3 linked regions of the Arabidopsis thaliana genome follow. The protein of the gene in region 1 purifies or fractionates together with the protein of each later gene. This does not show direct contact. Each region holds a gene or a part of one and is shown on either strand. Other genes may lie near its edges.

The links. Proteins that work in one complex are often made in the same cells at the same time.
Region 2: the proteins of EIF2 ALPHA (region 1) and ABCF4 fractionate together in Arabidopsis thaliana (co-fractionation; one large-scale study listed by BioGRID). This does not show direct contact.
Region 3: the proteins of EIF2 ALPHA (region 1) and CAND1 fractionate together in Arabidopsis thaliana (co-fractionation; one large-scale study listed by BioGRID). This does not show direct contact.

What each region holds. Positions count from the first base shown.
Region 1 is NC_003076.8:1,615,901-1,622,840, forward strand, and holds EIF2 ALPHA (eukaryotic translation initiation factor 2 alpha subunit), read left to right. Parts: upstream 1-4,557; 5' UTR 4,558-4,678; coding exon 4,679-5,062; intron 5,063-5,174; coding exon 5,175-5,231; intron 5,232-5,327; coding exon 5,328-5,414; intron 5,415-5,498; coding exon 5,499-5,645; intron 5,646-5,745; coding exon 5,746-5,850; intron 5,851-5,957; coding exon 5,958-6,056; intron 6,057-6,158; coding exon 6,159-6,314; 3' UTR 6,315-6,437; downstream 6,438-6,940. Other genes in the region: ENGase85A (Glycosyl hydrolase family 85), read left to right, coding at 1-92, 341-478, 564-673, 761-872, 964-1,071, 1,173-1,285, 1,364-1,445, 1,543-1,623 and 3 more; AT5G05480 (Peptide-N4-(N-acetyl-beta-glucosaminyl)asparagine amidase A protein), read right to left, coding at 6,438-6,940.
Region 2 is NC_003074.8:20,186,343-20,194,642, forward strand, and holds ABCF4 (general control non-repressible 4), read left to right. Parts: upstream 1-3,451; 5' UTR 3,452-3,550; intron 3,551-4,038; 5' UTR 4,039-4,050; coding exon 4,051-6,222; 3' UTR 6,223-6,598; downstream 6,599-8,300. Other genes in the region: AT3G54530 (uncharacterized protein), read right to left, coding at 1-81, 163-339, 434-577, 689-856, 937-1,167; AT3G54550 (DNA-directed RNA polymerase subunit beta-beta protein, putative (DUF506)), read right to left, coding at 7,285-7,616, 7,701-7,893, 7,980-8,300.
Region 3 is NC_003071.7:686,301-693,985, reverse strand, and holds the start of CAND1 (cullin-associated and neddylation dissociated), read right to left. Parts: upstream 4,203-7,685; 5' UTR 4,051-4,202; intron 3,675-4,050; 5' UTR 3,642-3,674; coding exon 3,606-3,641; intron 3,524-3,605; coding exon 3,348-3,523; intron 3,248-3,347; coding exon 3,040-3,247; intron 2,751-3,039; coding exon 2,585-2,750; intron 2,307-2,584; coding exon 2,177-2,306; intron 1,992-2,176; coding exon 1,877-1,991; intron 1,665-1,876; coding exon 1,507-1,664; intron 1,420-1,506; coding exon 1,296-1,419; intron 1,134-1,295; coding exon 1,083-1,133; intron 1,002-1,082; coding exon 919-1,001; intron 823-918; coding exon 738-822; intron 665-737; coding exon 563-664; intron 466-562; coding exon 367-465; intron 246-366; coding exon 135-245; intron 1-134. Other genes in the region: AT2G02550 (PIN domain-like family protein), read right to left, coding at 5,222-5,389, 6,168-6,602. UniProt on the Arabidopsis thaliana protein: Key assembly factor of SCF (SKP1-CUL1-F-box protein) E3 ubiquitin ligase complexes that promotes the exchange of the substrate-recognition F-box subunit in SCF complexes, thereby playing a key role in the cellular repertoire of SCF complexes.

The DNA.
Region 1 (6,940 bases):
ATTTGATGGACGTTTTCGTTTACTTCTCTCACTCTCTAGTGACTCTTCCTCCTCCTTGTTGGACCAACACTGCTCACAGACATGGCGTCAAAGTAAGTCAATGTGTTGACTTTTCAAAGTTTAGCTGATTTATATAGTTAAAGTAACTCAAGTTTCGATCATTGAATGTAAGTGAGTAAAGTCGTTGCAAGTCGTAGAAAAAAGTTGAACTTTGATTAGAGAGGAAATGAATAAGTGATAGGGAGTTTGGTTGTCTTGGTCTGTGAAAGCAGAGAAGTACAATTATGGTTGTTATAAGGAATGATTCATTTTCTTGTGTGTGTTTTATGGAAATGTTAAGGTATTGGGGACTTTCATCACAGAATGGGACGAAGGAAAAGCTACCTGCAAAGAGTTGTTGGCCACAAAGGAATCTGCGCAGATGTATGCAGAGCGTTTGGCTGAACTTGCTGCTGCTCTTGGCTTTGATGGCTGGCTGGTGATTTTTCTTTTTGCTATATATGGATCTCTTTGTTCAGCAATATTATTGATAATTTACTTTGCTTGTGAATTGTTACTTGCAGATAAATATAGAGAATGTAATAGATGAAGTTCAAATTCCAAATTTGATGGTTTTTGTAAGCCATCTAACAAAAGTCATGCATTCATCTGTACCTGGAGGTTTAGTTATATGGTGAGTGTTGAGAAGCTTTTCTTTTTGTCAAAATCATTCATCTGTTTCTAGACTATACTGATCTTTTCTATTACTTTTTTTTTGTAGGTATGATAGTGTCACTATTGATGGTCATCTTGCTTGGCAAGATCAGTTAACCGAGAATAATAAACCTTTCTTTGATATATGCGATGGTATATTCATGAACTATACATGGAAGGTTTGGCCTTTCACTTCAATCAATCACTTCATCTTCATTCATCTTATATGTTTTGATTGTGATATGAGTACTGAGTAGGTATCTCTTTCAGGAGAACTACCCCAAAGCATCAGCTGAAATTGCCGGTGATAGAAAATATGATGTCTACATGGGAATAGATGTGTTTGGTCGGGGAACTTACGGTGGTGGGCAATGGACTGTATGTATCTTTATTCTAACAAATTCATTCAACCAGTAGTCTGCAATGTTCAAGCTGCATATAAAGTTTTTATACGTTTGTTCAATTCTTTTGTATTGTAGGCAAATGTTGCTCTTGATTTGCTGAAGAGCAGTAATGTATCAGCTGCGATATTTGCTCCTGGATGGGTATACGAAACCGAGCAACCCCCGGATTTTTACACGGCACAAAACAAGTAATACTTGCAAATGGCCAAATGTGATGGTAAAATTAATCTTTGCAATCTTATTCATCATATGTTATCTTTCTTTAGATGGTGGTCACTTGTTGAGAAGTCATGGGGTATAGTTCAAACATATCCTCAAGTCCTACCTTTCTACTCAGATTTTAATCAGGTGAAGTCAAACTTTGTTCCCAATGAATAGATGCAAATGAGCATGGCTATTCTATGTTCTACTGAGTTTTGAAACTCTCCACTTGTTTATTATATAGGGCCTTGGTTCTCATACCTCTCTTGGAGGTCGGAAATTATCAGAAGCTCCCTGGTACAACATCTCATGCCAAAGTCTACAGGTTCAATGGTCACTCCTTGTTCTAGCTTTTATTGCACTAGAGCTCATTTCCTTTTTTGTCACATTTTTAATCTGGACTTATCTATATACCAATTTGATAATTTCTTCTGCTGTGTTCTTTGTGACAGCCATTCCTAGAATTCAATGAAGGAAGGAATTCAGAGACCATTCAGGTCACTGTTGAGTGAGTTCTGACCCTAAATCCCTAATACTAGCCTCATATTTGATTTTCAAGAAGCTTAAGAAGAAATTGTTTTGGCATCTAACAATTAAGCACACATATATGCTAGTGGTCGAGAAGCATCTTATAATGGAGGAGGGAACGTCAGTTTCAGAGGAAAACTAAAGAGAAATGCACATTTCACAGCAAGACTATTCAAACCTCAGCTTCAGCTCTCTGCTGCCCCAATCTCAATCTTCTTTTCTGTAAGTTAACGCATAAGATTTGAGCTCCTCCTCATCTTTACAAAGTTTCAATCTTTAAGTTTTACTCATCATGTAAGTCTTTGGACTGGTGCAGGTGAAGTCAGATAAAAGATCCGAGCTAAGCATTCTGCTCCATTTTTCATCTCCTTCACAAGAGAAAAAGTCCATGCTTATGGTGCCAAATGAATCTATCAACAGATTTGGCGACATGTTCCTGCCATGTCTTCTCACATCAAAACAGACCACATCCGGTTGGACAGTACACGAAACAAACCTTGTTTTAGATGGGCACACACTGACTGAGATATCTGCCTTCTGCTCCAGACCAGATGATCTCACAGAAGAAACAAACACACTAGAGTATTTTGCATTGCTTGGACATATCTCCATCAAGAGCCAGCAAAAAGCCAAGGTTTATCCTCTGGCGTCATCATGGGTTATAGAGGCTCATCACGTAAAGTTTGTACCGGGTGATTCTGGCTCCAAGACCTTAAGTTGTAAGCTAGAATGGAGATTGAAGCACCCTGAAGAAGATTCTGTCTTTCCAAAGTACAATGTATATGCAGAGAATCTGAGTTCGAGTGAGTATAGACCAAGGAAGGTTATGGAAGAACCAAGAAGCGAGAAAGTGTTTCTTGGAACAGCTCATGTTGATGCTTATTATGTCTCTGAAATGGTCGTTGGATCAGATGTGAAGGGAGTCCGGTTCGTGGTTCAAACCTGTGGTGAAGATGGTTCATGGCAGGAGTTGGATGCTTCCCCTAACCTTGTGGTTGAAGTAGAGCGTGTGAGTTCAAAGCTTTGTTGTTGTGGGTTGATTTGAATTATGGTTCATTTCCGAACCTGCGATCTAATAAGACCATTGATGGTTTGTTTAGTCAGTTCAAGGATATGAACCATACGATAATGAATTAATGATTATAAGGTTGATAATAATAACAAACCTTTTCATGCACAGATTCTTTGCCTTGTGGTATATGTTGGTCCTTATCTGAAAGATTCAAAGGACGACGACTAGTCTCAGTTTCACTCTCAACTTGTTCATTCCACTAAAACCGACAAGTCAACACAATGAACATAAAGAACAAACAAAAATACACATCCAATGGAGGAAGAAGAACAATTTACTGCTCCAAATGAAACATAACAAACGAGCTTAGCTTTCTAGTTTTAGTAAAAGTTCTGGGCAACAAAGTAAAAACAGAGCAGGACAACCAAAAAATTCATACCAGAACTATAGATTCGATGATAACAAAGACGATTAACAATGATTAAGGTTTATACATATTTTAGCACTCACCAGTTGAAATCTGAAAGCGTGAATCTAGTTTTTGCCTAAGGAGAGGAAAAGTAAATAATAACATAGCTAGCAACATGTCTACTATTTCATTTTTTTTTTGCGTTTCTAAACCAATCAGAAGGCTCTATTTCGTACCCACTCGCAGAAAGAGCGCGTTGAGCGAGTGAGAGCGATTCTGTGGGTAAACCCCTTTCCAATTCATGCCTTTTTGTATCGACGCATTTCTCTCCAAATTCTCTATCGCGTGACTTTTTTTGTTTTTTTCTCAAAACCAATTGCTAACCGGACCAAAATCATTTTTAATTTCAAAACCAAAGTAAACCAAACCGAAATCAATTTCAATTTGCAATTCTGGACAAAAATTTCTGGCAGTTTGCATGATTTCTTAACAACTTAACTCAAAATCACAAACTATGAACCGATAGAAAAATTTACAAAATCACAGTAATCTTTGATCATTACAAGAAGTGTAGGAAAGGATTAAACTTTTAAATTCCAAAAATCTCAGAATCAAGGCAAAGAAGATTCCTGAAGATTTTTACTTCCATGACATCCAATAGAGGAAGAAGAACAAACCATTGATTCAATTAAAACATTGCAAACGACTGAACGAGCTTAGACTTACTAGTTTTAGTAAATTCCTTGGCAACAAAGTCAAAACAGACATGGACAAAAAAAAAAACCAAAAAAAGAACTGTAGATTCGATAAGAACAAGCAAGATTTGTAATAATTAAGGTTCATAAAGATTAGACTCATCTGAAAGCATGAATCTTCGTGTTCGCCTTTTAGTTCTAACTTACAATTTCCTTCTTTTATGTTCTTTGGTGTGAGGTCGAAGAAAGGAGAGAAATGACTATGAGTGAGTGGTCACGATTCGAAATACTTCTCGATGAACTTTTCCCAAGTTAAAATAATGGGGTAAACTAAGAATATTTCGATTATTAAGAGGTTGAAGTTGTAAATTAATTTACGACATATTACCAAAAATACACAGCTCATTAAGTTAAGCTAATCTCAACATTTTAATCTCTTTATTTGAATCAATTAGTTTCATAACCTTTTTAGTAATTTCAGTACTTTTATTTTGTAGATTAAACGGTATCGTTAGCAAGCCAACTACAAAAACGGTGTCGTACTAGAATGGGCCGTGAGAATGTGAGCGACTCGGCGAGATTGAAGATTATACGACGTCGACTATTTTTAACGACAGAATCGTACCAATTTTGAAAACCCTAAATCTCAATCCTCGACGCTCTCTACTAAGAAACTCAATCTTACTTTCTCTGTAATTCGTAGCTTCCGAAATCTTTTCTCAAGAATCTCATAACCATGGCGAATCCTGCTCCGAATCTAGAATGTCGTATGTACGAATCGAGATACCCTGATGTAGACATGGCGGTGATGATTCAGGTGAAGACCATCGCTGACATGGGAGCTTACGTATCTCTCCTTGAATACAACAACATCGAAGGAATGATCCTGTTCTCCGAGCTCTCTCGCCGTCGGATTCGTAGTATCAGTAGCTTAATCAAGGTCGGTCGTACCGAGCCTGTTATGGTCCTTCGTGTCGATAGAGAGAGAGGTTACATTGATCTCAGTAAACGTAGGGTTAGTGATGAGGACAAAGAGGCTTGTGAGGAGAGGTATAATAAGAGCAAGCTTGTTCACTCTATCATGCGTCATGTTGCTGAGACTGTTGGTGTCGATTTGGAGGTATATTCATTCATACGATTCTCTGACTCTTCTCGAATTTGTTTGAATGTAGGTCAATGTTCTTGAACTGAAACAAGGTCCAATTTCTGAGGAAAAACCTTCTTTTTTGTAGGAGCTATACGTAAACATCGGTTGGCCATTGTATAAGAAGCATGGACATGCTTTTGAGGTAATAGTTCCAAAGATTTTATTATGTAATAGTTGGCCCATTGTCGTTTGTACGAACTATGTTGTGATGGTGTGTACCTTGGACTGTGTGTTTCAGGCTTTCAAAATTGTTGTCACTGATCCTGATTCAGTTTTCGATGCTCTTACCCGAGAAGTTAAAGAAACTGGACCTGATGGTGTGGAGGTAACAACACTCTTTGCCTTGAGCAGCCTTCTCTATCATTGTTTTAATTTGATCATGAAGACTTATAACATATCTTCTGTACAGGTGACCAAAGTTGTCCCGGCTGTGTCTGAAGAATTGAAAGATGCATTTTTGAAGGACATTAGGAGGAGAATGACACCACAGCCAATGAAGATTCGTGCTGATATTGAATTGAAGTGTTTTCAGTTTGATGGAGTTCTCCACATCAAGGTCAGTCTTTTCCTTTTTCTTATCTGTTTTTTTTTTTTGTTTTCTCTGTTTGTTTTCTACTTCTAGCTAAAGATGTTTGGCTATTATTATGAATTTACAGGAAGCCATGAAGAAGGCAGAGGCTGTAGGTACTGATGATTGTCCAGTCAAAATCAAGCTCGTTGCTCCACCACTTTATGTACTCACAACTCACACCCATTACAAGGTATGTTTATGGTTGTTGGGTGTGCTCCTATTTATAAGCGGAAACCGTTTTGAGATACATTGAGGATTACATAGTAACATTGACACTTTCTTGTTCTGACTGAGTAGGAAAAAGGAATAGTGACTCTGAATAAAGCAATTGAAGCATGCATTACTGCAATTGAGGAACACAAGGGTAAACTTGTCGTTAAAGAAGGTGCTCGTGCGGTAAGTCTTGTAGCCTTTTTCTATGACTAGTTGACTGAATTTGCTACTTCAGTCACTCCTTTTCTTCGGTTCCGTGACTTTAATGTGCTACAACATTTTTAGGTGAGTGAGCGTGATGACAAATTGCTTGCTGAGCACATGGCTAAGCTTAGAATGGATAATGAAGAAATGAGTGGTGATGAGGGAAGCGAAGATGAAGAAGAAGACACTGGAATGGGAGAAGTCGATATCGATGGAGGTAGCGGGATAATTGAATGAACAAAAGCAAAAGCATTGTAACTGCTGTTTCTGCTTTAGATCCTACAATTTTGTTTCCCTTTGAGCAAAAACAGTATTTTTTGTTTGACCCCAAACATGGTTAGTAGTACAAGCATCTCTTATTCACGACAAGTGTTTCATAACATTGGTTATGATAAGCTGCTCAATAGTGTTGAGCTCTGAGAATGAAGACGAAGTACAAGAATCAGATGAACTGTCCTGGGCAATCTCCCCATTAGCCGCAACGATGGTGCGGGAATAACAGCTGAATTCATCGATATAGCTAAGACTCTGTTTTGTGCTCGCTTCACCAGCCAAGACATTGTGATCTTCAACCTCCATCCAACCCTCTGAGTCTTGTCTGCTATAAACTTGGATCAAAGCCTCTCCATCTGAATGTGTCTCATTCAAGGCGTGTGAAACATTCGTCACGAGCATATACGTATCCTTGTCGTTGGTTAACCCTCTAAGAGTAGAAGTGATCACTGTAAGAGGATATGTCCGCTGGTGCACGACTCGATTCACCGGTTTACCCGATTCAGAAGTCACCTCCACGATCCGTTCGGTCTTCACTCTCTGCTCAACCCTCTTGTATGTTCCGTTTTTCTCGAACCTCACCAAGCTGT
Region 2 (8,300 bases), on another chromosome or scaffold:
TGCAAAATGTATTCTGTCTTGCAAAATATTCTCTAACTCTATTTTCTCTTTCTCTAACTCTCTGTGTACATTCGTCACAATCTAGAGGAAAACAGACATCATCACATTTCTTAGTTTTAAGAAATAAGCCCATGAGTAAAGAGGAGAAATTTGCTGTATTACCTTTATTAAGTCACTTGTAGAATTTTTCATATTGTCCAGACTCGTGAGGTTGCCCATTAGTGCACCATTGGAAATAGCTTTTTCTGTCAACTTCTGTGTCTCATTAACTCTCCTCAACAGATCGTGTACAGATTTCTTGTTGCTATTCTGTGGAACTATTCTTTGAATGCAAATGAACTGATTTTATCATAAGATGGAGAAGTAAATATTTAAAACCTCATTTACAATAATTAGTTAAGAGGCTTTCAGTAGGAGTAGAGTTGAGTGGTACCTCCCAATTAATTCTTTTGACATCAATTGTTTCTTGACACAGACCATCAGTGTATTGCTCTTTGGTTTCTGCTTTCAGCTTCTGAAGTACCATATTTTCTTGTGCCAAGCTTTTACAACCGTGCGTCAAGAAGAATTGCTTACCCTAAACAAGTATGGTTCACATAAATAATACATAATATGATTTACTGAACTATGATCAGTGCTTCAATTATATATCCTAAGTTGCTAGAAAAACTGGTCTATGGGAACATACGTTTGTTGGTGTTTCTCTTCCTCTTTGTGATGCTTCTTCTGTATTCAGCTTGTCAAGAACATTCTGCAGTTGCTCTACTACATTTTCGATGTGATCGATACAGTAGCCAACCCAGCGACTGTGATGTCCTGGACGTTGAAAAGCAATGTAGTACATATACCTGTCTGACTGTCCATAAAGAACTGGCCCTATAAGTTTCTAACAACTTTACAAATATTCACTATTTTGTTTTATGTATTGATGCTTACTTGTAGTTCTGTGTACTTCTCGTAGGTGTGTTGATAATCTTGCTCGAGCTTTTCCAATCGCTTCTTTGCTTCTGCAAATGATGAACGCCCAAATGAGCCAGGGCATGGTGAAACCATGTTGCAGGAAAGTTTCTCGGAGCCCTTTTTACTATAGTTGCATCCCATACCAACTGAGATGGATATTGTTTTGAAATTAGAAGTTTCCTGACCATCGGCTTTGAGATTTTCCATAGCTTCTTCTGAGTGTTATATGTATTTTAGCAAGCAAGTTTTTACATGGAAGCCTTGTTCTCTTGTGTTGTTATATAGAGAGAAAAAACATTGTTAACATAATAAAATAAAAACTCTCAGAGCTGATTATGCAAACCCTTGCACCCCACTCCAAGAAAGTCAATGGCTCGTCTCCAAAAGAATCTTCTTTTGTGTATTCTTTCTTTTTGGTTATTAATTATAGTTTGACCATCTGTCTCTTCTATATATTATCATCTACTTGAGGCATAAAATACAAAGAAATGTTTGTCATGATAATTAGAGCTTATTGTGATTAAACAATGAAATGTGAATGATTGGGATTTTGACAAGTCTTCAATCTAACAGATTGTCACGAACAGGTTGTGGTCACATTAAGTTAAGAGTAATGCTTCCTTAGATCAGTCTTACTTACTACAATGGCGACTAATAGTCATATAGGCTGCTCAACAACCTTAGCACGTTCTTGCTGCTGCAAAGCCTCAAATTCCCCTCCTCTTTTATCCTGTATCTGCTTGATTGATTCTTAGAAAACTCTGTGTTTTATTTTTGAATATGTGTATCAGTAGGTATCTAGGTAATACAGAATGTCAAGTTTGTATGTTTTTTTTTTCCGGAAATAACTTACCTCTTCTCTGTTCTGTTCATGTTGAATCTTTGTTCTCGGTCTCACGATTATGCTCTGCAGTTTTACGCAGATTCTCACTCATAATTTCCATAGAGCCATACTCTTTCAGTATTGTGTGATCTTGTTCTGTAACCAGATCAGCTGTTGATTGGTCTCAGAGATCTGCCTCAGCTACTTAACAACCATTTCTTGGTAAGATTTCATCTCAAATTCCAGCCTCGTTTGGCCTAATGAGTAATACATAAATACATATGATGCATTCACAAGAACCAAAAAAACTCTAAATCCCATTGAAAGGACTAGAAATGTTAATGATGGGTTAAAACCCACTCGGTACCCAAAACCCACATAAAATTTTAAGCCCATAGATCTATTTTTTCTGGAAAAAAAAACATAGGTTTAAAATGGGCTGGGTACCCAAATAAATAAAACCCATATGGGTTTACCTCATTGGGTAATGGGTACCCACGGGTTTTTTTCAGTCCTTTTTCAGGTGAATCAACATTTTCTCGTCAAAAAAGATTTCACATTTTTCCGTCAAAACCGCGATTTAACATTTACCGCCAAAAAAGACATTCAATATTTTCCCGCTAAAAAAGACATTCAACATTTTTCCGCCAAAAACGACAATCAACATTTTCCCGCCAAAACGCAATTCAACATTTTCCCGCCAAAAACGACATTCAATATTTTCCCGCCAAAACGCAATTCAACATTTTCCCGCCAAAAACGACATTCAATATTTTCCCGCCAAAACGCAATTCAACATTTTTCCGCCAAAAACGCGATTCAACATTTTCCACCAAAAATAATTTCACTTTTCCCGCTAAAAACGCAATTTAACATTTTCCCGCCAAAAACGGCATTCAACATTTTCCCGCCAAAAAGGATTTCACATTTTCCGGTCAAAAACGCAATTCAACATTTTTCCGCCAAAAACGCGATTCAACATTTTTCCGCTAAAAACACAATTCAACCTTTTTCCCATCAAATATATATGTAATACAGAAAATAAATATAATTTAAAATATATTTATAAGCAAATTATAGATACAACATACATATAATAGTATATTAGCAGTTAAAATAAACTCTAAGAAAATGACAAAAACCAAGTTGGGTACCCACGGGTAGTCTCAGAACAATCAGGTTTTTTCGGGCTTTACCCACTAAATCAAAAACCCATCTGGGTTTTGTAAAGTTGGGTTTTTGGTGGGCGGATTTATTTTGGGTTCAGGTCGGGCTGGGCTTTTTTACCCACCACAACATCTCTAGACAGGACTTAAAACAAATATCGAATATCTGAGGGAGAAGAACCTTGATGTTGTTCATTGAATGACTTAGAACATATACTGAATATCTGAGGTAGGGAACCTCGTGGCGCATGTTATTATTGTTTGGATGATTTGATTAATTCGGATTTCGATCATACCTATGTGTGTATAGAACCCTTGATTTTGAATTAATTAACAGAATTATGATATATGTCAAGAATAAATGATGTTAACTATTTTCATAAGTTGAATGCTTTACTTCAATTTGGAAATTAGAGAAAAGGCCCAAATATTTCAGCTGTAATAAGCCCATAATGAGGCCCAATAAGACACTAGAAAGGAGTTGAGTAATAACTAAGCGATTCTCTTCTCTCCGTCTGCTTCAATCCCCTTTTTTTTTTCGTTTCGTCGTTTGTTCGTTTTCTCTATCGCTCTCGTTCATCTACGCAATCTCTCTCACTAGGTGAGTTTCATATTCTTCTCTTTGATATTCTTGTGGTGAATTTCGTTTTAGATATGTACCGAATTGAAGTTCCCTCTGTTTTTTTTAATCAGATTCGGATCGATATCTCTCGTTTAACAGTTTTAGGTTTTCATTTGCTTATAGTTGTGCTTTTATGAAAAGTGAATTCCTCTTAGGGTTCGTCTATTAATTTGCTAATAAATCCTAATTCTTTGATTTATCCTCTTTTGAAACGGATTAGATGGTAAAGAATCGAAATTGATTTGAGAATGCATCAGATTTGTTTATATGAATAATTATTTACTGGGTTTCAATAAAGTTTTGAGCTTGAGCTTTTTGTCACCATTGTCAAGTAGAAAAACCCTAATTCTGGAGCTCTGTTACCAGTACCAGAGGCCTGAGTTTGGTAGTTTTCGAATTAGCTTGCTAGATAATATATGATTATTCGTTTGATAACTTATTGGCTGTTTATTGATGTTTCATGTCAGGTACAGTTTTAAATGGGTAAGAAGAAGTCAGACGAGAGTGCTGCTACCACAAAGGTGAAGCCAAGTGGGAAAGATGCTTCGAAAGATTCTAAAAAAGAGAAATTGTCAGTCTCGGCTATGCTTGCAGGCATGGATCAGAAAGATGATAAACCGAAGAAGGGCTCATCATCTAGAACCAAGGCTGCTCCGAAATCTACATCTTACACTGATGGCATAGATCTTCCTCCTTCTGATGAAGAAGACGACGGTGAATCTGATGAGGAAGAGAGACAGAAGGAAGCAAGGAGGAAGCTGAAGAGTGAACAAAGGCACCTTGAGATATCTGTGACTGATAAGGAACAAAAGAAGCGAGAGGCGAAAGAAAGATTAGCTCTTCAGGCTGCAGAGTCGGCAAAGAGGGAGGCTATGAAGGACGATCATGATGCATTCACGGTTGTTATTGGAAGCAAGACCTCAGTGCTTGAAGGAGACGACATGGCTGATGCAAATGTTAAGGATATTACCATAGAATCTTTTTCTGTATCTGCTCGAGGTAAAGAGCTTTTGAAGAATGCTTCTGTCAGGATTTCACATGGTAAAAGGTATGGGTTGATCGGGCCAAACGGAATGGGAAAGTCTACACTGTTAAAGCTTTTAGCTTGGAGGAAGATTCCAGTGCCAAAGAATATTGATGTTCTTCTTGTTGAGCAAGAGGTGGTTGGTGATGAAAAGAGTGCTCTGAATGCAGTTGTCTCTGCCAATGAAGAGTTGGTTAAGCTACGGGAAGAGGCTGAAGCTCTGCAGAAGTCGTCTTCTGGAGCTGATGGAGAAAATGTTGATGGTGAGGATGATGATGATACTGGAGAAAAGCTTGCTGAACTGTATGACAGGCTGCAGATTTTAGGGTCAGATGCTGCTGAAGCACAGGCATCCAAAATTCTTGCGGGGTTAGGTTTCACAAAAGATATGCAAGTGCGTGCGACTCAGTCCTTCAGTGGTGGCTGGAGGATGCGAATATCATTAGCTAGAGCTCTGTTCGTGCAACCTACCCTTTTGCTGTTAGATGAACCCACTAACCATCTTGACCTGAGAGCTGTTCTATGGTTAGAGGAGTATTTGTGTCGCTGGAAGAAGACACTAGTTGTTGTTTCACATGACCGGGACTTCCTCAACACAGTCTGCACGGAGATAATACATCTCCATGACCAAAATCTCCACTTCTACCGTGGTAATTTCGATGGTTTTGAAAGCGGATATGAGCAGCGTCGCAAGGAGATGAACAAAAAATTTGATGTCTACGACAAACAGATGAAAGCAGCGAAGAGGACTGGAAACCGGGGTCAACAGGAGAAGGTAAAGGACAGGGCCAAGTTTACTGCTGCAAAAGAAGCATCCAAGAGTAAGTCAAAGGGCAAGACAGTGGATGAAGAAGGCCCAGCACCAGAAGCTCCAAGGAAGTGGAGAGATTACAGTGTGGTGTTCCACTTCCCAGAACCAACTGAGCTCACTCCTCCTCTTCTGCAGTTAATTGAGGTTAGCTTCAGCTATCCCAACAGGCCAGATTTCAGACTCTCGAATGTTGATGTAGGTATCGATATGGGGACACGGGTTGCGATAGTTGGGCCTAACGGAGCAGGAAAGTCCACTCTATTAAATCTTCTTGCGGGAGATTTAGTTCCAACAGAGGGTGAAATGAGAAGAAGCCAGAAGCTGAGGATTGGCAGGTATTCTCAGCATTTTGTTGACCTTTTAACAATGGGGGAAACACCGGTTCAGTATCTCCTTCGTCTTCATCCTGACCAAGAGGGATTTAGCAAGCAAGAGGCAGTGCGAGCGAAGCTAGGCAAGTTTGGGCTACCAAGTCACAATCACTTATCTCCAATTGCGAAATTGTCTGGAGGACAAAAGGCTAGGGTTGTGTTCACCTCGATCTCAATGTCAAAACCACACATTTTGCTTCTGGACGAGCCTACAAATCACTTAGACATGCAGAGTATAGATGCCTTGGCGGATGCACTAGATGAGTTCACAGGTGGAGTTGTGTTGGTGAGTCACGACTCGAGACTCATATCACGTGTATGTGCGGAAGAGGAGAAGAGTCAAATTTGGGTTGTAGAAGACGGAACAGTGAATTTCTTCCCAGGCACATTTGAAGAGTACAAAGAAGATCTCCAAAGAGAAATCAAAGCAGAAGTTGATGAGTGAAGTTTTGTTGTTAGCTTCTAAGGTAAACTCAAACTCCTTTATGTTTTATAACAAACTCAAAAAGTTTTGGACAATTTTATTTTTAGCAATCGTGTTCTTTCATCATTTGTGCGTTAATTACATCATATATGACACTATATACATCAGTTTCTCCATATTACATATGTTCTGAGTGTAGGGTGTTGTGTTTTGGGGGAAGAAAACAAAAGACATGTGCAATTCTTTTTCAACAGTGTGTTTCCATTAGAGCCATAATAACCAGCAAATGCTTCTTTATATTTTTAGCTGTCTGAAATTTTGCTTAGTTTCTCTCGTTTATTATTTTTGGCTCTTTCTCTCTCTTTTGGTAGTTTTGGCTTTCTTTGGTTGATTGTGTTTACCATGCCTCTTCCTTTGTGTTTATTTTGATTAAGATAGTGAGTATCATATGATTGATTTAGGGTTCTAATCTTAAAGTAAGCTTGAGATTCAGAAATTGAGCTGAACGGGTAGAGATTTCGTGTTGATTTTCTGGACTTCACGAAATTAGGAATTTCAGGGATTACTTAGTTCTTTCGTGCTCTATTCTTAGCCATAGGGTCACCTAGATCAGCCATCAAATCTTTCACAGAGCTCAGGTCGTTTTGAACATGATAAATCAATGAGTCAGAGTTTGTGTATGGTTTAGAGTCAGAAGATGCATTTTCAGCAGTGTGATATCCTTGATTTCGTAACCTTGATATACATTGTTAGAAGAAATTTGTCTAAATGGCTTATCTTTTTCGCTTTCTCTGTTTTTAGCACACTCTGTTTCGTGCTTTTCTCTGATTGGTCTCTATTTTTGTGGCTGTCGTTAATCTTTTTATAATTATTTTGAAGTCAATTTAAATGAAAGCAAAAATGCAATAAAAATAAACAAACTCAAAAGAAAGATTGGTTTCTTCTACAAGGGATCAGAAGAAATCTTAAAAACAACAAAGAGGATATGATCATGATCCTTAAAATCATACCCTTACAACAAAAAACAATCAAAAGAGATTTTAATCCCATGTGTTTATTGATAATTAAGCTAATATTATATATTTAAGGATGGACAACACCAGCTTGTCCACTGGTTTCTCCTTGAGTTTGCTTAGTACGATCATATTGAGACACCCATTTGGTTAACAAATACTCTGCTCTCCTCCATGGTGGCATAAATAGCCCTTTCTTCCTAAAGCTCGTCTTTGCGGCTTTAGACAAAAATACCACAACCTTCGTCAACCTGTCAACTTGTCCAACAAAGACGTAAGGCAATGTCTTCGATATCGACTCGTAAGTCTCACTCGATCTAGCAATTTCGAACTTCGATTGGAAATCAAAGTCGATGAGCACTCTTTCTCCTCCAATGTTAACATCCAAATACTCATAGTCCCCTGTTTACCATTTTCCACAAAAAAAAAGGTTATTTTCTTAACAGTTTTGACACTTAGAGAGTGGATCAAAATGAAGAAACGTACCAGCGGGAACACAATACGATTTCGTTTTCGATTTCTCCCAGCGAGATTTGCATATTGCTGCATCATAGCCTAAAGCCACCAGTTCATCAACAACATTTTTCAGTCTGGACTTATCTTCAACCTCTCTCTCAACGATCTCGGTTGTTTTCGTCTCGAGATCACGCTCAGATACGTTCGCACAAAGTAAAAGACTCTACAAAACATTGAAAAGAAAAGAAACTCTGTTTATAACAGATTCCAAACATCAAATGTGAGCATCAGAGATATTATTCATCATACCTTGAGGCTTCGAAGAACTCTTCTAGAAGAAGAAGATTCTTCGTCGTCCTCGTCAGAGCTATCAGTACCACTTCCACTGAAGCAGTTGCATCGGTTACGAACAATGCACTTTGATTGTTTCTCACTGTCTGGATCCTCGATATAGTTCTGCACCATCCTCCTCAAACAGACCGAGCTCGGTTCGATTTCTTCGGAATTTTCTCTAGAAAGCGATGAATCTACACCGGCTAAGTTCTTCAGAGAGAACGGACGTTCAAAAAGCCGCTTCAGTCGAGATCTCGGCGCTTGTCTCATCCCTACACCATTGATGTTGATAGGCTG
Region 3 (7,685 bases), on another chromosome or scaffold:
AAATAAGAAACGGCAAAAAAATTGTGAGTCTGTATATGGGTATATATATATGGTTCAAACTTCTAAATAAATGAAGAGGAAAGACTGAAATCAGTAAATGTGTACATGACATCTAAATGCAATGAGATACTCACCGCAGTACTTGGGCGTACTACTCTGACAAGTTCCCCACAAACCCTTAATGCCTCAGCAGTCACCTTATAATAGCGTTCACCAACAGCAGCTAAAACAGGACTTGAAAGAGCCTAGAATTACAAAAAAGTTCAAGAGTCAGTTTTTACTTTCAAAAACTGGGTTTTGAAGTGTAGGGAGTCAAACATTTGGGCAATATATCAATAGACTGAAAACCACTTAATGTTTCCCAACCTTAATGTAAGGGTGAAAAACAGGAGGCGCATGTGATGCCAAGACTAATTTGGTGAAGACAAGAGCTTCAATTTTCAAGTTTGATGTAGAAGATTTATCCTGGAGAAGTAAAAAATAGAGAAAACATGAGCACTTGAAAAAGAGCAACACTGACAGTGACAGTCCATAAATAAGTGTAATGAATATATCCACTAACATTTAGCGCCCTTTCAATTCCAGGAACAAGTGAACCAATATGATCAGCAAGACAGTCAGGCAGGACAACCACAAGTTCTCTCAAAACAGAGAATGCTCCAACCTACAGATATGAAAGAAGTTATGAAAGTATCAAACAGGAACCAAACCAAAAAGAATGTTTAACACTTTCATACCTTTGTCTTAACAGACTTTTCGCGCAGTTGCCTATTTATGGATTTCACAATCTTTGAGACTTCTTGCTTCAGTAGCCATTTTGGACTGCATAAACCAAAGGTATACATATTTAGTTAGCAGGGTTTCATCAGAAATGTGACAGACCATCCATATTGAAGTGAAAGGACTCAGAATTTTTGCCTTGATTCATCGGTGTCAGTTTGACCTTTTGTAACATTTCCCGTTTGCCGCAACAGATCAATGAATGTGTTGAATACATCCATCTGTAACAACAGTACCTCAGTCTTAGATCAATAACCATATTGCAAAGCAAGAATAGAGCATTAATGGATTAAATTACATACCTTCACATTTTCCTCCCTTTCCTTAAATCTATCAATTAGTTTCGGGCAGGCCTGCACAAGAAGAGACTAAACTCCTCAACAATAATTCTATAGTAGATTCTTGTTTCATATTTAATCAAACACAGGTAAAAGAATGAAAAACTCTTGTGTAAGGGAATCTTGTACACTCCCGTCATGAAAGATAATACGCTTGATCATTTAAAAAAGATATACCTCTTGATATACTTTAGTGAGCATCTCAGAACGCGAAACGATTAATCCTGCTAGGCATTTGGCCGCTGCTCTCCTAACTTTCCAGCTGGCATCTTCATCATCTGTGTACTCATTTGCACTCTCGCTGTGAGAAAGAAAGACTTATTTCAGTGAGATAATGGTGCACCGTAAGGAGCTAGGCTACTGTTCCAATGAATAAATCAGAACTTACTCATCTTCTTCATCTTCAAGAGTCTCATTATCAGTATCTTCCTCCATATTGTCCGTAAAATTCGGGTCATAACTAATATATTCTAAAGTAAGATTTAAAATTTCATCACAATATGGTGAGATGTCCCTGGGACATCGTAGCAAGAAACTTTCAAGTGCCTGCAGTCAAATTTCAGAACAGACATGTTATCGTCTACATTGTTCATACCAATTTTATTGAACCTAAGATTAGAATTCCAATTTAATAGCATAGGAAAGAAAAGAGACTACAAGCACGCCTAAGTAATTGTCTGATTACAAAAATTAGATGAGAAAACAAAAAATGCAAGCGTAGTGAGAAAGTAGGAACATTAGGGAATCTTGCACGATACCTGTAAGCTATACTCGCGAAGCTCCTCGTCATTTTCTGAAGCGCTAGTGCAGTAATTGATTAATACTGGCACAGTGTTACCTAGATGAGTGCCAAACCGGTAACCAACAGCACGGCTGAAACAAAAACGCATTAAATAGCATTACAACCATGGCAAGCCTAGTCGTAGATAACCATTCATCCCAATCAATAAATAGGTAGCACAAGTACAACTAACCGAAGCATACTACAACACTACAGTAACGTATGGTAAGAAGTTAAAGATATATAACAAGCCGATAAGAAGGAAGATAGGAAGTACCATAAAGCTCCAATCATTTGAATATTGGTACGTGTAATCTCCGATTTTGCATTCCTGTTACTTAGATTTTTCACAACTTCAACAGTCGCCTTCGCGAGCAAATCATCAGACAGACTGGAAGCAAGAGAAGCTGACACCACACAAAATTTTGAACTTAGAAGAGGCTATATACCATCGAATTAAGAGTTCTATATACGACTAGGAAAAAAATGACATTGAATATATCATTTGAACTAGCATCGGTTTCACAAGAATTGACGCAAACAGCTGAAAACCATATTTCTAATATAGATAAGGAAAGCTACCACTCAAGTCTCGGCAGATTAAAGTTGGTTTCAAATTAGCTAAATATTGACATTAGTACCGACAGTACCCAGCAATCATATTGACTCAATTTTATGAACTTACCAATGCATGTAACAGTCTTCTTCCTGACTGTGGCTTGGTTACAGCCCAATTGCAATAACAATGTATTCAATAGCTTCTCGTGATCATCCGTCATTAAACTTCCATATTTTTGAACAACATCACACATGATCTCAAGACATTCACACTTGATCCCTGAGCTCATTCCCTTCAGCAGTAAATACGCAGAAAATTAGTTACTTGTAAAATAAGATGATAGAACCTTAGAGTAGACAAATAATTATATGCATATACTGTGCTCTGGTCTACTAAGAGTTTTTCAGACAGAGTTCTTTAACTGTATTAGATCCAATAAAACTTAAAACGTAAAATCAACTAATTTTCCAATAGATGTCAATCAATATGATTTTGATGGGATCCGAAATTGTCTAGGACGACCCTAAGCACTGTCGCATATGCAATCGAAATAATAAGGAATAGACCTCCCAACAACTAACCTGGCCACTTATTCCTCCTATCATTTGTGGTGTTAGAGTAACAAGAATAGATGGAGCAAGCGTAGGAGCAATTTGAGCGACAACAGTCCTGAGAGCTATGCTTGCGGTATCACGATGCTGGTCTTTCCCATGCAGCAGTTTATCACATAACTTGTTGGTCATTTCAACAATTCGTTCTTCTCCAACCTTCTTCACCAATGGAGCAAGACTGGAACAAAATCATAACATCAAAGGTCGACGATAGATCAGCTAAATGTAAAAGTATAACATCAGCTTAGGTCATAAGTTGCTAAGAGCAGAAAGCTAACCATTTAACAGCCAATCCAGAAACATCACCAGCCACATCATCGAGCTGTTGCAATATGATACTCGACAATCTCACCTCCAAGTCCAGGTCGATTTTAAAGGAATCCTTATTCAACTCATTAAGCAAATCAGAGGTTGCCATGTATCTGTAATCTTTATCTTTACCCGTCATCTGAAACTATAGTAAATACAGCAATGAGAAAAGGTGACTATACTCAAAAACAAAATTAAGCTTAATTAGAAACAGATGATGAAAAGACCTTTTCGAGTATCCCAGAAACTTGTAAGTTCGCCATATTGGCCCGACCTTCTCAATTCACTCCTTCCAACTGCAATCAAACAAGGATCTCAAAATTCATTACTTAGTAAAAAGAGAATCAACCATGCGTTGAACTAAAACGCTTAGTCAGAGCAATGTCACTCTATCAAGCTCTCCACAGAGGTTAAAACATCAGAAACAAAGTCAGAAGTGTAAAGAAGAAGCATCGAAGATGGATTAATTATCGCCGGTAACAAAACCTAATTAATATCCCTTAGAAAACTTTTGATTCATCGAAGATCACAAAGAAGAAGTTCGGTTTGATAAATCAAAGTATCGTCGCCACCAAAACCCTAAGACTACGACTACGAAGACGAAAAGAGTTAACGCTAGACATCATCACACTTTATCGATCAAAAAGCAAAAAAGAGGTAACCCTAAGTAACCTGAGAAGATGAAATCGACGGAGGTAACGCCGGAGACGGAGTAGAACGCCGAGAGTTCCGATTTGGTGGTGGTGGAAGTTGCGGAGAGGAGAGAGCTCTGAGGAAAGTAAAAAAAGATGGAGGAGATACTGTAAATTTCCGTACTCGTGAAAGCTTGATTTTTAGCCCTTCTCTCTTCTTAAGGAGGAAGTTAACTTTCTTCTAAATGGGCCTGTGTAGGATTAATTGGGCCTGACTTGGTGCGATTTGAGTCGGTTAATGGGTAGCGTTTATTTCATGCTGTACATTGTTGGACTTGATTAGTCGGTTAATACTAAATGGGTTTGGCCCAATTACTTTGTTTTCAGTCTGAGCCCAAGCATGGGTTTCTTTGTTTGATCCAAGTAGTTCTTTTTTTGTTTGCTTTTTTTGTGTCAGGGACATGCTATGCGATTGCGACCAACCAACTAAATAGTGTTAGCCATTGGTTCATCGACAATTTATGGTCAATATTTTTGAACGATTAGCAAGTAAAAAATTGTATCACTGAAAGTTTTCAACCTAGGCCAAGTATATGTGGTTTAGTGGTAGGGGAAGCTTTGGGAAGGATGAAACTCTTAGACCCGAGTTCGATTCTCCTTGAAAGTTGGTAAGTGTATAAGTTGGGTCTTGGTTTAATTGGTTTACTTGGTAATTAGAAATGTAGGCGGCCGCCTGACTACCCCCTGGCATTAGTCAGAAAGCATTTCAAACTCGTGACAGACAGACAGTATGGTGGTTTTTCGGGAAGAAGTCCACTCGAAAACATTTCGGTGTGTTTTTACTAGGGCTAACCAGATCAGCCGATAAGGTTTATAAGAAAAAAAAAAAATTGAATCAAAATCATTTGTTAAATGTTCCCGACCCAACGACTACCAAATAAACATGATTTCATTGTCGATAGTCATCGCTAACGATTATAAAGTTAACAAAATATAACTGATTGTCATTGTTGCTAACGACTAAAAAAAACTAAAACCGTAAAATATGGTATAGATGTGAGATTTTTTGTCGAAATTAGACTTCCTTTATTTTGAACTAGAACTTCGAAATTCAAATTATTAGATACTTTTGTCTAAGTAGTTTCTTCGTCATCTGTTTCTTCCACTTCCACGTGTGTAAATTTTTCGTGGGTTTCAGGATTAAGTCTTCCTTATGCTATTTCCTTAGTCTTAGTTGTTGACAAATATGTGCCCGTAGAATCTTCATACTTTCGAATGACAAATTCATCGCCAGACTCACGGTCACGCAAGAATGGAAGGTTAGACACCTCAGGCACATTCAAGTGTTGAAGCTCTTCAATTACTTGATTATAGACATACTAATATTTGAAAAGCAACAAAATTATGAATTTTTTCAGATGAGAAGTTAGGTCAGTGCTGTCCTCTAGTAGTTCCTCTATTACCTGAAAGAAAATGAATAACACACATCATGTCATCATACATGCAAATACAAAATCTAAATGTATAGTATACTACTATTTTGAACTAAACCAAGTAAAAAGTACCTCTCTACCACGTATAGTTTTAGTACCAATTATTTCATATGCTCTTTCGGATCCCTCCGTTAATGGCCATTTAAAATAGTCACAATCGCAAAGAATGCACATCTCCAGAAAATTATCGTCTGTGAATTCTGAAAAATCGTAAGATTTTGCTTCTTCTTTAGTTTCTTTTTCGTTGTCTTTATTTTTCTTGCTACTATGAAACCGCTTCAATAAGTCTATCATTTCGAGTTCAAGCAATTCAAAGTCTTTACTGGCGAAAATAATTTGTGATCACACAAAAGTTTAAAGTGGTAGTAAAAATTAATGTTATGTCTACATGAGAAAAACCTTTAAAATAATAATAATTGATAAGTGTATTAAAGAACTTACTCTTCAACATCTAAATGGTATGAGGTCAGTGTTAATAGTGAGAACCGCATAAACGCTTTTATCTTTATTATTAGCCAAATATACAAGCTGTGAGCAGCAACGATAAACTCAATATTCGGATACTTTTTTTTTTTAAACCTTCAATGGGAGAAAAAAGAAAGGTTAATAAAAAATTAGAAAGAAGTGAAAATTCTTAAAAATAATTATTTACCGTAAATGTTACCTCAATGAAAACATGTATCACATAAGGCGTGATGTGTATATGACTTTGAAAGATCTTAGTAGCATTCTTCTCTTTGTCCTTTCTCTTAGGGTCATCGGGAGCCATAAGTTGTGCTGATGCGTCAAGATCCTTTGCGTATTCTAGAGTTTTTATTGGGTTCCGCGGTGACTTAATAGGTAAACGATGTCCATCGAAAACAAGAATAGGATTCACATTACGGTCGATGAATTGTTTGACTTTTTTGATGACAAACATTATATGTTCAGAGTTGGGTGTAGTTGGTTCCTCCAAGAATTTCCGGGCATTATTTAAAGCACCTCTGTATAACCACATTGAAGCGTCAATTGCGAGAGTTTTACTGTTGAGAGCGGAAAAACTAATTGATTTCAGAACCTTGGATTTTCCATAGAGAGAGTACAAACTTGTGAAGCCCATAGCTTACAATTATTCTTTTTTTTTCTTTTTGAAGCAATAACAAAAAGGAGTGTGTGTCAATATATATAGTGTGATGAAAAGAGTCAAAATTTCCCGTTAGCTATTCCTTTCCATTATTTCTGCTATTTTCATTTTTTCCTAGTTTACATTTTTCTATATTATTATTGTTATATATTTCCATAATTTTGTTTGATTTTGCTGGCCGATTTCATCGTACGGACCTAACCCGGTTCGGTTTGGTTCAACTGTATTTCTATTATATTTTCTGGAAGTTTTTCTATTAACTATAATATATATTAGGTGATCACTCTCGATACGTCGCAGTTTTTTCGGATTCTTTTGTATTGTTTAATTTAAATATAATTTTTATTTATCTAATCATTCACTCATGCAATAAAAAATTATTTCAGTATTAAAATATTTTTTTTCTAACAACATTCTCAATAATGCATCATACACATCATTCATAAACAACGTTCATCTTAAACCAATTTAACAGAGGGTAGTGTTCGTAATTAGAAACATAAGAATTTGATGATGGATCGGAGCTCCGTACGTATTATGTACCCTCGATGATTTATTATATAAATATCAATTTAAAAAATAAACTACTCAAATCATTAACTAATTCACGACTATTATACACTCATACTTTGAGTTTGGATTACAAAAAAATCTTCGAGTATGAAAAAACTATTAAAATAAAATATTTAAATAAATTTATTGAAAAATTTATTGAAAAATCATGTAATATTTAAATAAATTTAGTAATAGTACAGTAAATATGTAAAATAAAATCATATATAAAATTAAATAATAAATTTATCATTAACTTATAAATTAAAAATTGAAAAGTTTACATTAATTATTTAATAGACACATGATAAATGTTAAAGTGATGATGTATCGATCATATGTAAAGAGTTGGATAATTTATATATATATATATATATATATATATATTTTATATTGTTATAGTGCTATAATGCTATGTCAATCTTGAAGGAGATAAAAATATATTTGAATAAAATGACGTTTCAATAACAAAATAATAGTAATGGCAATCAATAAACTATGTCAGTT